3 linked regions of the Notamacropus eugenii genome follow. The protein of the gene in region 1 purifies or fractionates together with the protein of each later gene. This does not show direct contact. Links are inferred from orthologs where the notes say so. Each region holds a gene or a part of one and is shown on either strand. Other genes may lie near its edges. The genes, in order: UBXN2A, PPP1R11 and PPP1R7.

Region 1 (3,742 bases):
CAATGGGTTTGAGGTCTGTCACTTACCTCCAGTCTGGTTCAGCCCATCTGCAGAGACAGTTTACTGGGGCGAGGTTGCTGCACATGCTCCAGCTTCTTGGAGACAGAGGTGAGAGTTGGGTGAATCAGGTGGACACTAGAGGTGGAAAGCAGCCCTCATGCCAGGGGGGCTGGTCTTCTTCAAACATCCCTGTACCCAATTATTCCTTTTACATAGCTAGACATTGTTCTGTTTGTATGCTCATCTTCCCCTTAGATTGTGAACTCTCAGAGGGAATGTCTTTTGCCTCTTTTTTGCATTTCCCCCCACAGGCAGTGTTTGGAACACAGAGAAGACGCCTTACAAGTGTTTATGGAGTGACTGACTTCTCTTTGAGTCTGGCCATCCCAAGCATTCATCAGATTACATTACCTATGGTCTAGTCCACACCTATTCCCCCACCCCCACACCCCGCCCCCAAGAACAGCATGACTTAATAACGATGGCTACCATTTATCTAGACTAAGATTTGCCGAGAGTCTGGCAAGTAGTTATTTCATTTAATCTAATGAAATACTTTGAGGAAATTTAGGCAAGGTACCAGTAAAAGCATTTTTAGATTTAAAGAAATCAGAGCATGGAAGGCAGAGCAACAACTGGCAAAGAACCCTGAACCAAAATAGATAATTTCAGCGATGTGAAATTAAAAAGTTTGACACCAACAAAATCAATGCACCTCAGATGAGAAGGAAATGAACAACTGGGGAAAAACATCTTTGCAAATACCTGTGAGAAGGGCTTGCTGTCCAAGACACATATGGACGAATATTAAATACTAAACAAAAAATTTACTATAACTAGAACATAAAACAAACGTAAAACACGCAGACACACACCGGCACAGATACAAAGGTATACACACACGCATATACACATGTTCATGTGTATGTAGATGCACGCATACACAAGTATGTGTATGTCCAAGAGCTATCCCCAATGGATAAGGGGTCAACACTTCTTAGAAGACTAGCCAACTTACTAATGACCACTAGAAGAGAAATCAGGGAAGTGGACATGAGTATAACCGTGACATGGTCCATCAGACCCAGCAAACTGTCAGAGGAGAGAAGCTGCAGGACAAAGACACGCTGTTGGTTGGTGGAGTGACCAGTGACCCACACCCTTCCGCTTCCCCTCTGACCTCAAGATTCAGAAGACACATAGCTCCCTGATGCACAGACCATTTCTGCAGGCCTCAAAGTAACTGGGGTCAGTGGGGGAAGGGTTTTGAGGGCTGAGCTATGGAGAACACATAGACCCTATAGGAGCATGGGCAGAGGCAGCAGGTAGGGTCTGGGGGCTGAGCAGAGTCAGGAGAAGGGCGTTGCTGATGGCGACCCCAGTCATACAAAGAGCCCCCAGGATCCAGAAAGGAGACTGAGCACCACTTTCCCTTCAAGGCCAAGGTGGGGCACCCCGGGGGTGAGAAGCTACAGGAAGGTGGAAGGGACTCTTGTATTAAGTGAGGCCTCCCTGGGAAAAGAATATATTTGACAAGGACTGCGACAAAAAACCCCAAAGTGGCAATAAACTCATTTCAAAACACTTTGGTGTCTCCTCATTCCCCCTAACCCAAAGTGGTAAAGATGAGAAAAGGAGGAAATGGGGGAGGGGTGCAGGCAGCCAGGCCCACACAAGCCCTAAACACCCCCAGGTCCTTGGACTAGCCCTATGACTTCCAACTCACCGCCCTTCTGAGCTGCAGTGTCCTCTGGGTTCCCAAACATGGTGCCTAGAACGACCAGGCTGCTCCAGGGTCCCCATGCTACAGTGTGCCAAATCCACCTCATGCGCTCAAGGGTCTGGTCTTATTCCTCTTCCCTGGGTGTTCCTGGCTGGGGGTCTTGTCCATGTCCCCCCCTTTCCTCCCCCCAAAATCATCTCCTCTCCTCAGAGACTTCCTCTGACCCCTCTGGTCACTTTTCTAGCTTCCAGGGCCTGCCTCCCCACTGCTCACAGGCTGACATTCACACCAGACTTCCCCGTCTCCACTGTCTTCTCAATCCTTGGAGTCTCACTGCCCCTGTGGCTCTCCATGGCATGGGGGGAGCTGGGCTCCACCCTTCTCAGCCCTCCTTTGGGGGCCCTCCCCAGGCTGGTTCCTTTGGGGTCCATTTCCCGCCCCTATCCCCCAGTCAGGGCAGGGTACAGGTGAGGGAGGGGGAGCACAGCTCAGGGGAGGAGGTCCGGGGACACCCTGCGGTAGGGGGCCTGCCCAGACCTTGCTGGTGAGCTCCGAAGGAGCTTCGGTCCCAGGGGCCCCTCCCCAACTCCTGGCTCAGGTCACATACAGAGTCTGCGGTCGGCCGGGCTCTGCTCACCTACTCAGTGAACCCCTGAAACAGTCTCCACCCCACGCCTGGACCCAGCACTGGCCTCTCCCCTCCCCCTAGGTCCCCACCCACCTCTGCCTCCGAGGTCACGTCAGCCCAGGGTCCAGGCCTCTCCCCTAGGTCTCCTCTCTCACCTGCTCGCAGCCGTGCGCGTCCGCACCGCCGGGACGCCCGCCTAACTCTCCAAGCTGATCCCCCAGGCCTGACTTTTCCTCCTCCTCCTCCTCCTCCTCTTCCTCTGGGTTCCGGGCCGGACGTGCACGAGCGTGCGCAGTCCCGGCGGCGGGAGCGAGCCCGCGGGAGGCCCGGGCCAAGCCCCCGCGGGGGAGGGTCGGAGGCTGGGCACCCCCTGGGGAGCCGGGGGCGGGGCGGGGGGATGTCCCCCGCTGGGTTCCAGTCCCCAAGTTCCTGCCCTGCCCGCGGGCGGACTGCTCAGGCCCAGAGGAGCCTGGGGTGACCTTCGGGTCGCAGGCTCAGGCCAGTCCGGGCTTGGCTTCCAGCTCTGGGCAGGGCCGGGCCGGGAGAAAGGCCCGGAGGTGGGAGGCGGAGCCCGTGAAACTGACAGACCTGGAAACTGACCAGATGGGGGGGGCGGAGCAGAGGGAGGAACCGCGGCTGCCCGGGCTGAGAGCCTGGAGCCAGAGGGGCGGCCAGGGCAGGCGGGGAGGTGGGGGGACAGAGAGGAGCTGCATGTGTCTACTGGACATCCGGCTGGAGATGTCTGATGGGCAGTTGGGGAGGAGAGACTAGAGCTCTGCGGAGAGGCTGGGGCAGGACAGGGAGATCTGGCAGTCACCCTCTCAGAGACGGTCATCAAATCCACGGAGCTGAGGAGATTCCCCCAGGAAAGTGGTCTAGAGGGAGAAGAGGAGAGGAACAGGACAGAGCGCCGGGGGACCCCCATGGTTAGGCAGGGCGGACGGAGAGGGAGAATGGGGGGTGGGGGTGGGATGTTCTGAACACCTCGAGGAAATCATGATGGATGGTGTCTGAGGCTGCAGAGGGGTGGAGGACAGTGAGGCAACTACGACTGATGGTCACTACTGGTGCAAGGATGAGGTTGGAAGCCCAAAGGTAAGCAGAGAGTGAGAGGGGGAGGAGCCTTCTCAAGGTTAGCCAGAAAAGGAACAGTAGCAGGGATGGAAGGAGTGATGGGGGAGATGTGGCTTGTCTGTGGGCAGTAGGAGACGGGGAGAGAGTGGGGATGATGGCAGTGGGAGGGGAGAGGAGCTGGGATTGGGGAGGCCCCATGTGTCCCTGGACTTGCCCAGCACTTAGTAGGCACTTAAAGCTTGCCCATTCACTGACTAGTGGAGGGACTAAGCTACTAAGGAAGGAGCTCCCTTTCTAATGGGAGGGGAGTGGGCCAG
Region 2 (3,742 bases), on another chromosome or scaffold:
TTTCCACTTAAGTCAAGAGCAGAAGATGGGTGAGGGAGGTGGGAGGGTCGGAAGTTCTTACCCTTAAACCAGGTCCTGATCATCCTATTGTCTCTCTTCATTCTCCTGCCTAGCATTCCCCCCAATCTCATTCTAAGTCCAACCTCCCCAACCTCTAGACTCCAAGCATTTTTTCCCATTAGTCTCCTAAACACTTCACAGCTCCCCATCTCGTCCCCAAGCTGCTGTCTGACTTCAGGTCCCTCTCCTTCCAGTTCCTCTTTCTCATCTGATCACCCAACCCTGCCTTGATGCCCTCTTCCAAATCTCTTTTAAGACCCAGCCAAACACTGGGTCCTGATCCTGACACCCCCATCCAAGACTTCTTCCGTTCCCTGAAAATCCATGACGTATTCCTCCCAAATCGGCTCCCCACCGCTACTGACCCCTCCCCCGTGGCCGCCTTTCTCCATCCTCTCCCTTCCTGTCCCCTCGAGCATCCTTTTCCTCCCCTCCCTTCCCCCACTCTTTCCCTCGGGCATCCTTTCCCTCCCCCTCTCCTCCGTCATCCTCTCCCTGTCTACGCTAGGTTCTCCACACCCCTGTCCTCCTCACGGGTTCGGTTGTCACAGTAACCGATGTCTCGGTGACGGTCTCGCTCAGCCCAGCCGTGGCCTCGGCCATGGCGGGGGCTGAGGGTGGGAGAAGGACGTCGGGGGAGGCGTAATCTTCCTTTCTCTGGCTCTCTGGGTGAGTCTAAGCCTCCGGCGTCGGGGGAAGTAGGAGTCAGGGTCGAGTTGTTGTTGCTCCTCTTTGGTCTCGACTTCCCCGCCCCCCGAGGACAAGGAGCCCACCCCCACTTCCGTCTCTTGACTTCCGGGTATGACGTTCCTCCGCACCCGGCTCGTCTCCCCACTAATCGTAAACGGCCAAAGGCGCAGGCGCTCCAGAACGACTTCCGCCGTAATCGGCGAGGGAGCCAAGGCTACTTGACCGAGAGTCTACGAACGCTTGGGGGCGCCCGCTGGGCGAAGGAGGCCGCGCAACGAGCAAGAGTCAGGGCCAGATGCGCAAGCGCAGCAGTGAAGCGACCGCGTTGGCGTGGAGGAAGGCGGCTCCGCACAGGCACCAGCTGCTGTCCAACTTGATCTGCCGCTGGGAAGACAAAGGATCCCTCTGCGCTGGAGGAAACGCGAAATCTTAGGTCCTCCCATCAAAACAACATCCCTTCCTCATTCTCCGCAGGAATGGAGGCCCGGGGAAATTGGTGAGCCAGAAACCGAGAGATGCGGAGCGCGCCTCGAGTTCTCTAAGACGCTCCTGCTTGACCAGTACGTTGGTCCCTCCTAGGTCATGCAGTTTGATAGTGGACGTAGCTCGTGTACCCCCAGACTCACGGAAATGCCTGAAGTCCTGAAAAATTACCAGTGATTACAGCGGTTAACATTCCTTAATGTTGTGCAGTCCGTCTCAGAGTTTTCTTTGTCGCTGGGCACAAAGGCTGGTGAAAAAGCTGCTGTTTTTTGTGGGAAGCTTTTGTCGTGGGCATTACACCTACTCTGGCAGCACGTTCCTTCCTTTGAAATGGTGACACTGTGTTATGTCCTGCTCATTCCTTTCCAGTGTTCTTTTCTGACCTACCTCTGCCATCCACCTTTGGTCCTACTTTCTGGTTGCTGAATGCCAACGAAGGATGTCAGCACCATAGATCTGTTCATGGCAGTGGAGTGGGTTCTCACCGATGGAATCCTCATAAAGCTGCCTGCAGCCCCAATATTCTAACTTCCTTATAGGCTCCACTGAACTGCAGGCCCACTGCCCCCGTCCCCGAACCCCCAATCAATATCTTCACTTATTCATTTATGTCTCACTGCTCACTACAACAACAGGTGTGTCCTTGAACTCATATTTCTCACAGAAGCAGCAGGTGTGTACATGTGATGGGATCCCAGCCACTGCCTCTACGAAGCCACTGCCTTTAGCTAGTCACCGCCCCTAGACCCATTTCTCTTATTTCCCACAGAAACAGCAGGTATTTCCATGCACTCAACCACAACCCCATCCTTGTGGTCTCAGACCGGACCACAATACCGAGCCAATCAGAAAGCAGCACCACAGGAGGCTCAAGCAGGATGTGGACCTCAAAACGGTAGAAGGGATTTTCCATAAGTAAGCACCTTTGAAGTAATAGCAAAAGTTGTCCTTTAGATGAATTTATGACATAGAAAGACTATACATACATACTCCCCAAATGGGTTTTTCTGAATACATTGTAAGTAATCATACGTGCAGTTCTACTGTGGGTGGGACCCCTCCCCTATTACCTAATCCCTTACACCTAATCCCTTAACAAACCCCTCCTGCCTTTTAAATATTCATAATTTCTGTTACATAATTGCATCTTTACCCTATAGAAATCTATCTTGCTTTCTCTGAAGCTGCTGGTTCCTCTTCAAACTTAGCCTGCTTCATGAGGCGTCAATCTTAATAAATGCTTATACTTGAATGAGAGGTGGTCTGACTGAATTTTTTGAGACAGTTCCACCATAACACATCATGAAACAGCAACTTGTCACAGCTGAATTGCAAATATTTTACTCTTCCCTAATAGATTACTCCCATTGTATTCCCCACATGGATTGTTTCCAGTTTTCTTTTCTTATAAGCTTACCCCATTCTTCTCCCCTCCCCTCTAGCAAAATATCTTTACTGTGCTTTACTGATAAAATTAAGGTCATTCATTGTGAGTCACTGTTTCCTCCAAACTCTTCACCTCATATCTCCTCATCACCACTCTGGTTCCCCCTTGTCCCCTTCTATATTACTTTACACTGGTACCAGAGGAAGAGGTAGTCCTCATAAAGGCTAACTTCCTTCAACCTGTGCCCTTGAGCTATCTTATTTCTTGCTGTCCTCTCTTTAAGCTTTCCCCATCAGTTGTCCTCTAATTTTTAATCTTTATGTACTTGCTCCTTCCCTGTTCTCTACAAACATGCCCAGATTTGTTGTTCCCTCAGGCTATCAATTATATATACAGGGTATCCCAAAAAGACAGTGCAATTTTAAGCTCATAAAATTTAATATTGCAGTATCTTAAAACTGCACTAAGTTTGGGACACCCTTTATATGTATTCCTCTTTTTACTGCAAAACTCCTAGAAAGAAAAGCTATCTACATTTTCTCCACTTTCCATTTAATCCTTTGCAGTCTGGCTTCTGAATCCACCAATCAATTTAAACTGCTTGCTTGAAAGGTTACTAATGATCTCTTAATCTTTAACTTCCGTGACTTTTTTTTCAGTCTTCATCTTTCTGTCAACCTTGTTTAAGCATGATACTCTTGACACCCTCTACACTGCACTCCACCCTCACTTTCTGACACTCTTCTTGGGTTTTCATGAAATTGCTTTTATAGTCCCCTTTCAGTGTGACCCTTCCTTCTCAGTCTCCTTCAATGGTTTGATCATTTTAAACACTTTTATGTGTGGATGTAACATAGAGCTCTGTTTTGGGCAATCTGCCTTGATCTTATTGACTTCTATGAGTGTAATGAGTCATGGGTTTAAGTCATCTATACAGATGACTCAAAAATGGAAATATTTAGTTCTTATCTTTTACAGATCTAGTGCCGTATCACAAATTTAGCCTCAACATGTCTAAAGCAGAACGCCTTCCTCCTAAACCTGTCTTTCCTATTTTTGTGTTGTTATTGTTCAGTCACGTCCAACTCTTTGTGATCCCATTTGGAGTTTTCTTGGCAAAGA
Region 3 (3,742 bases), on another chromosome or scaffold:
CCGTCACGGACACGCTGCCCTGGCCGCCTTCGCTGACCACCTGGGTCCTGCTGGCCAGGCAGCTGAGGAGGGCGGACCGCCCCACGGGGCACCTGAGGAAGCCCTGACGGCACAGGTGCCCCCGCCCGGACAGGGCAGCCCGTGCCCGCGGCGCTGCCGCTGCCTCAGGACAGCCGTCTGAATGCTCGGTGGTTTAGGACACATCTCAGTCTCTCCTTCTGCCGTTCTCGTGACTCCCCTCCTCTGGACACCCCACGGGGCCCGAGCCTCCGAGACCCCACGGAGCCCGTGCCTCAGCCCGAGCCTCCGACACCCCGCGGCGCCCGGGCTGAGCCTCCGAGACCCCATGGAGCCCGAGCCTCAGCCCGAGCCTCCGACACCCCGCGGCGCCCTAGCCTCCGACACCCCACGGGGCCCGAGCCTCCGAGACCCCACGGAGCCCGAGCCTCCGACACCCCACGGGGCCCGAGCCTCCGAGACCCCACGGAGCCCGAGCCTCCGAGACCCCACGGCGCCCTAGCCTCCGACACCCCACGGAGCCCGAGCCTCCGACACCCCACGGGGCCCGAGCCTCCGAGACCCCACGGGGCCCGAGCCTCCGAGACCCCACGGAGCCCGAGCCTCCGACACCCCACGGGGCCCGAGCCTCCGAGACCCCACGGAGCCCGAGCCTCAGCCCGAGCCTCCGACACCCCACGGGGCCCGAGCCTCCGAGACCCCACGGCGCCCTAGCCTCCGACACCCCGCGGGGCCCGAGCCTCCGACACCCCGCGGAGCCCGAGCCTCCGACACCCCGCGGAGCCCGAGCCTCCGAGACCCCGCGGGGCTCGAGCCTCTGACACCCCACGGGGCCCGAGCCTCCGAGACCCCATGGAGCCCGAGCCTCAGCCCGAGCCTCCGACACCCCGCGGGCCCGAGCCTCCGAGACCCCGCGGAGCCCTAGCCTCCGACACCCCGCGGGGCCCGAGCCTCCGACACCCCACGGGGCCCGAGCCTCAGCCCGAGCCTCCGACACCCCGCGGGCCCGAGCCTCAGCCCGAGCCTCCGACACCCCGCGGGCCCGAGCCTCCGAGACCCCACGCTCCTTGGAGCGGATCGCCAGGGAGGGCTGTATTCAGGAGGCGGGGCACGGCCGTCCCGCGCCGGGCTCAGCAGGGGGGCAGCCTGGCCTGGCGCTCTGAAGGGGGCGGGCACTCCACGGGGTCTCCTGTTTGACAGAGGAGGACCCAGGAATGCCCACGGTCACACGGGCCCCAGGAAGCTGCGCACAGAGGCCCTGGAGGACAGCCCGCTCTCCCTCCCACAGAACGCTGCTTTCACGCGGGGCACTCCTGTCCGCCCGCGGAGGCTTGGGCCGCTCCCTTCTCCGCCTGGCCAGTCCCCACCCAGAGTTCAGAGTCCACTGCCAGGGCGCTGCCCACCCCTGCGTGCCAGGCGCTGGAGACATGGAGACGAGGGTGACCAGCCCCTGGCCTCGAAGGGCTTAACGTGTCCGTGAGAGAGAGACCCTGTGCCCAGGCCGGGGTGTATATGGGGAACGCTGACTCTGAGTCTATCCAGGGGCTCCTTGTGGGAAGATGGTGGGGGGGCAGGGAGGGGGCCAGCAGGGACCGTCAGCGCTTCCGTGCACTGCACCCCAAAGCACCCGCTGTGTGCAAGGACCCCCCCCCCCCCCCAACCCCGGGGCTCACCGCACACCATCCGCCTCTGGGAACTCTAGGTTCCCACCGCGGCGCCTCTGCTCCGGGCGCTGCCCCCGCCAGGAATGCCCGCCCCCAACCCCAGGACGGATCGGCTGGGGAGCGCTCCCGGATGGCAGGGCCGCCGCCTCAGGCTCGGTCCCCCCAGCACCCGGAGCGGGGTCTCCAGGGGCCGAGGGTAGCCTGGACAGGGGAGGCCGGCGCCCTCCGCCCCCACCGGCGCGTCCCCCAGTCCGGAGGGCGGGCGGCCCGCGCAGCGCGCTCCGGCATGCCTCAGTTTCCCCCTCCGGAAGGGGGACGCGACGCTGGGCCTAGGCCACGGACGCGGCAGGGCGGGCTGGATCCACGCGAGCCTCGAGGGAGGAAAGGGGCCCACCCCGCCCCCGCCGCCCGGGCCGCCTCCCCCGCAGGGGCCGCTCACCCTCCATCATCTCCTGCGGCGGCTGCTGCAGCCCCGCGCCGCCCCCCGACGCCATGTTGGTGGCTCTTCTCTTTTCCGGAAGCTGTCGCCGCAGCTCCTCAGCCAATCAGGGAGTCGGATTCAGCCGCCGGCAGGCCAATCGGCTTCGCCGTGGCTGAATGACCGGAGTGGCATGCGGTGCGCATGTGTGGCTCCCGAGGCCTCTTGGGAGTTGTAGTTTCAAAGGGGAAAGTTGTGACAGCTGGAGGGAGAGGGAGGGGCGGGGAAGAGGAGATGGGAGGGAGGAAAGGAAGAGGGAGAAGGGAAAAAGGGAAGGAGGAGGGCCAATGAACGAGGAGGGGCTGGGAACTGCGTCCGGAATGGGAGGAGGAGGGGGAGGACGGGAGGCTGATGTGACCTGGGGAGGAGGCAGCACGTGCTGCTGGCATCCCCGGCGCAGCCCGGGGCGGTGCGGGCGGCTCCCCTGGTGCCAACGCCCCCTCGGGACGAGGACCCCGGGCTGTTCATCCTTTCGGGGGGGAGCCACTGGACAGCCAGCGGCATCTCCGGAAGGCTCCTTCTTTCCGGGAAGCTGTCTGGGGCAGGGGCTTCTCTCTCTCTCTCTCTCTCTCTCTCTCTCTCTCTCTCTCTCTCTCTCTCTCTCTCTGTCTCTCTCTCTCTCTGTCTCTCTCTCTCTCTGTCTCTCTCTCTGTCCTTCTCTGTCTCTCTCTCTCTCTCTTCTTTCTTTCTTTCTCTCTCCTCTCTCCCTCTTTCTCTCTCCTCTCTCCCTCTCCCCCTCTCCTCCTCTTCTTCCTCTTCCTTCTCCTTTTCAGAGCCCAGCACAGACTAGGCACCTCGCTGAGTCCCCACCCCGGCTCCAGTCTGGTGACACTGGCCTTCTTGCCTCCATCTCCCGCCTCCAGGCTCTTTCCCTGACTCCCTCCGTGCCTAGCACTGCCTTCCCCTGGCTGACGCTGAGCCAGACCCGGTTGGCACCTTTCCTGGCAGGCCCTCCCTCCTCCCTCCGCCACGTCCCACAGGCAGCCTCGCCCTCCCCTTGACTTAGGTGCCTTGTCCTGGGGATTCTCTCTAGCTCATCCCGTCTTTGGCTTGTGGGGTGCTTCTCCCCCGTTGAGCTTTAAGCTCGGGGGGCAGGCGCTGTCTTTCTGTGCCCCCGGGGCTTAGCCCACCGCAGGGCACGTGCTGGGCGCTTGTGGACCGACTTCTGTCTTTGCGGTCCGGCCAAGAGCGCAGCGGCTCCGAGCCGGGTCCTCTGTCTCCAGGCGGCTGGTGTGACCCTGGGCAAGTCCTCTGCCCTGCGGGATGCCCCAGGAGCGGCGCCATCTCCGCCGTCTTCCATCTATTAGCCGCGCTGCGAGGCTGGGCTGGGCACGGGCGGGTCTGACACCGAGATCCAGCCCGGCCCGGCGGGGAAGGCCGGATCCCACGCGGGGGACCGCGGACGGGGCGAGCCGGGAGGGCTGCGTGGAGGGGACGGCCGAAGGCCGCCGCGGGCCCCGGGGACGGCCTGGGCCGGTGCGCGGAGAAGTTCCGTAGGCTTCCTGGAGGGAGATGGGCTCGGGACGCGGAGCGGCGCCCGCAGTTGAGCAGCTCCGGGAGCGTTCCCCTTTTGGCCCCCGCC

What was found.
Region 2: the proteins of UBXN2A (region 1) and PPP1R11 purify together in Homo sapiens (affinity purification with mass spectrometry; 3 studies listed by BioGRID and IntAct, counting the BioPlex papers as one, with this or other methods). This does not show direct contact. The link is inferred for Notamacropus eugenii from reciprocal best matches to the Homo sapiens genes UBXN2A and PPP1R11.
Region 3: the proteins of UBXN2A (region 1) and PPP1R7 purify together in Homo sapiens (affinity purification with mass spectrometry; 3 studies listed by BioGRID and IntAct, counting the BioPlex papers as one, with this or other methods). This does not show direct contact. The link is inferred for Notamacropus eugenii from reciprocal best matches to the Homo sapiens genes UBXN2A and PPP1R7.

What each region holds. Positions count from the first base shown.
Region 1 is NC_092872.1:761,347,789-761,351,530, reverse strand, and holds the start of UBXN2A (UBX domain-containing protein 2A), read right to left. Parts: upstream 2,652-3,742; 5' UTR 2,507-2,651; exon of another isoform or gene 2,445-2,506; intron 1-2,444. UniProt on the Homo sapiens protein: Acts to repress the ubiquitination and subsequent endoplasmic reticulum-associated degradation of CHRNA3 by the STUB1-VCP-UBXN2A complex in cortical neurons.
Region 2 is NC_092873.1:83,983,441-83,987,182, reverse strand, and holds the start of PPP1R11 (E3 ubiquitin-protein ligase PPP1R11), read right to left. Parts: upstream 2,476-3,742; 5' UTR 664-2,475; coding exon 580-663; intron 1-579. UniProt on the Homo sapiens protein: Atypical E3 ubiquitin-protein ligase which ubiquitinates TLR2 at 'Lys-754' leading to its degradation by the proteasome.
Region 3 is NC_092877.1:378,106,610-378,110,351, reverse strand, and holds the start of PPP1R7 (protein phosphatase 1 regulatory subunit 7), read right to left. Parts: upstream 2,266-3,742; 5' UTR 2,177-2,265; coding exon 2,122-2,176; intron 1-2,121. UniProt on the Homo sapiens protein: Regulatory subunit of protein phosphatase 1.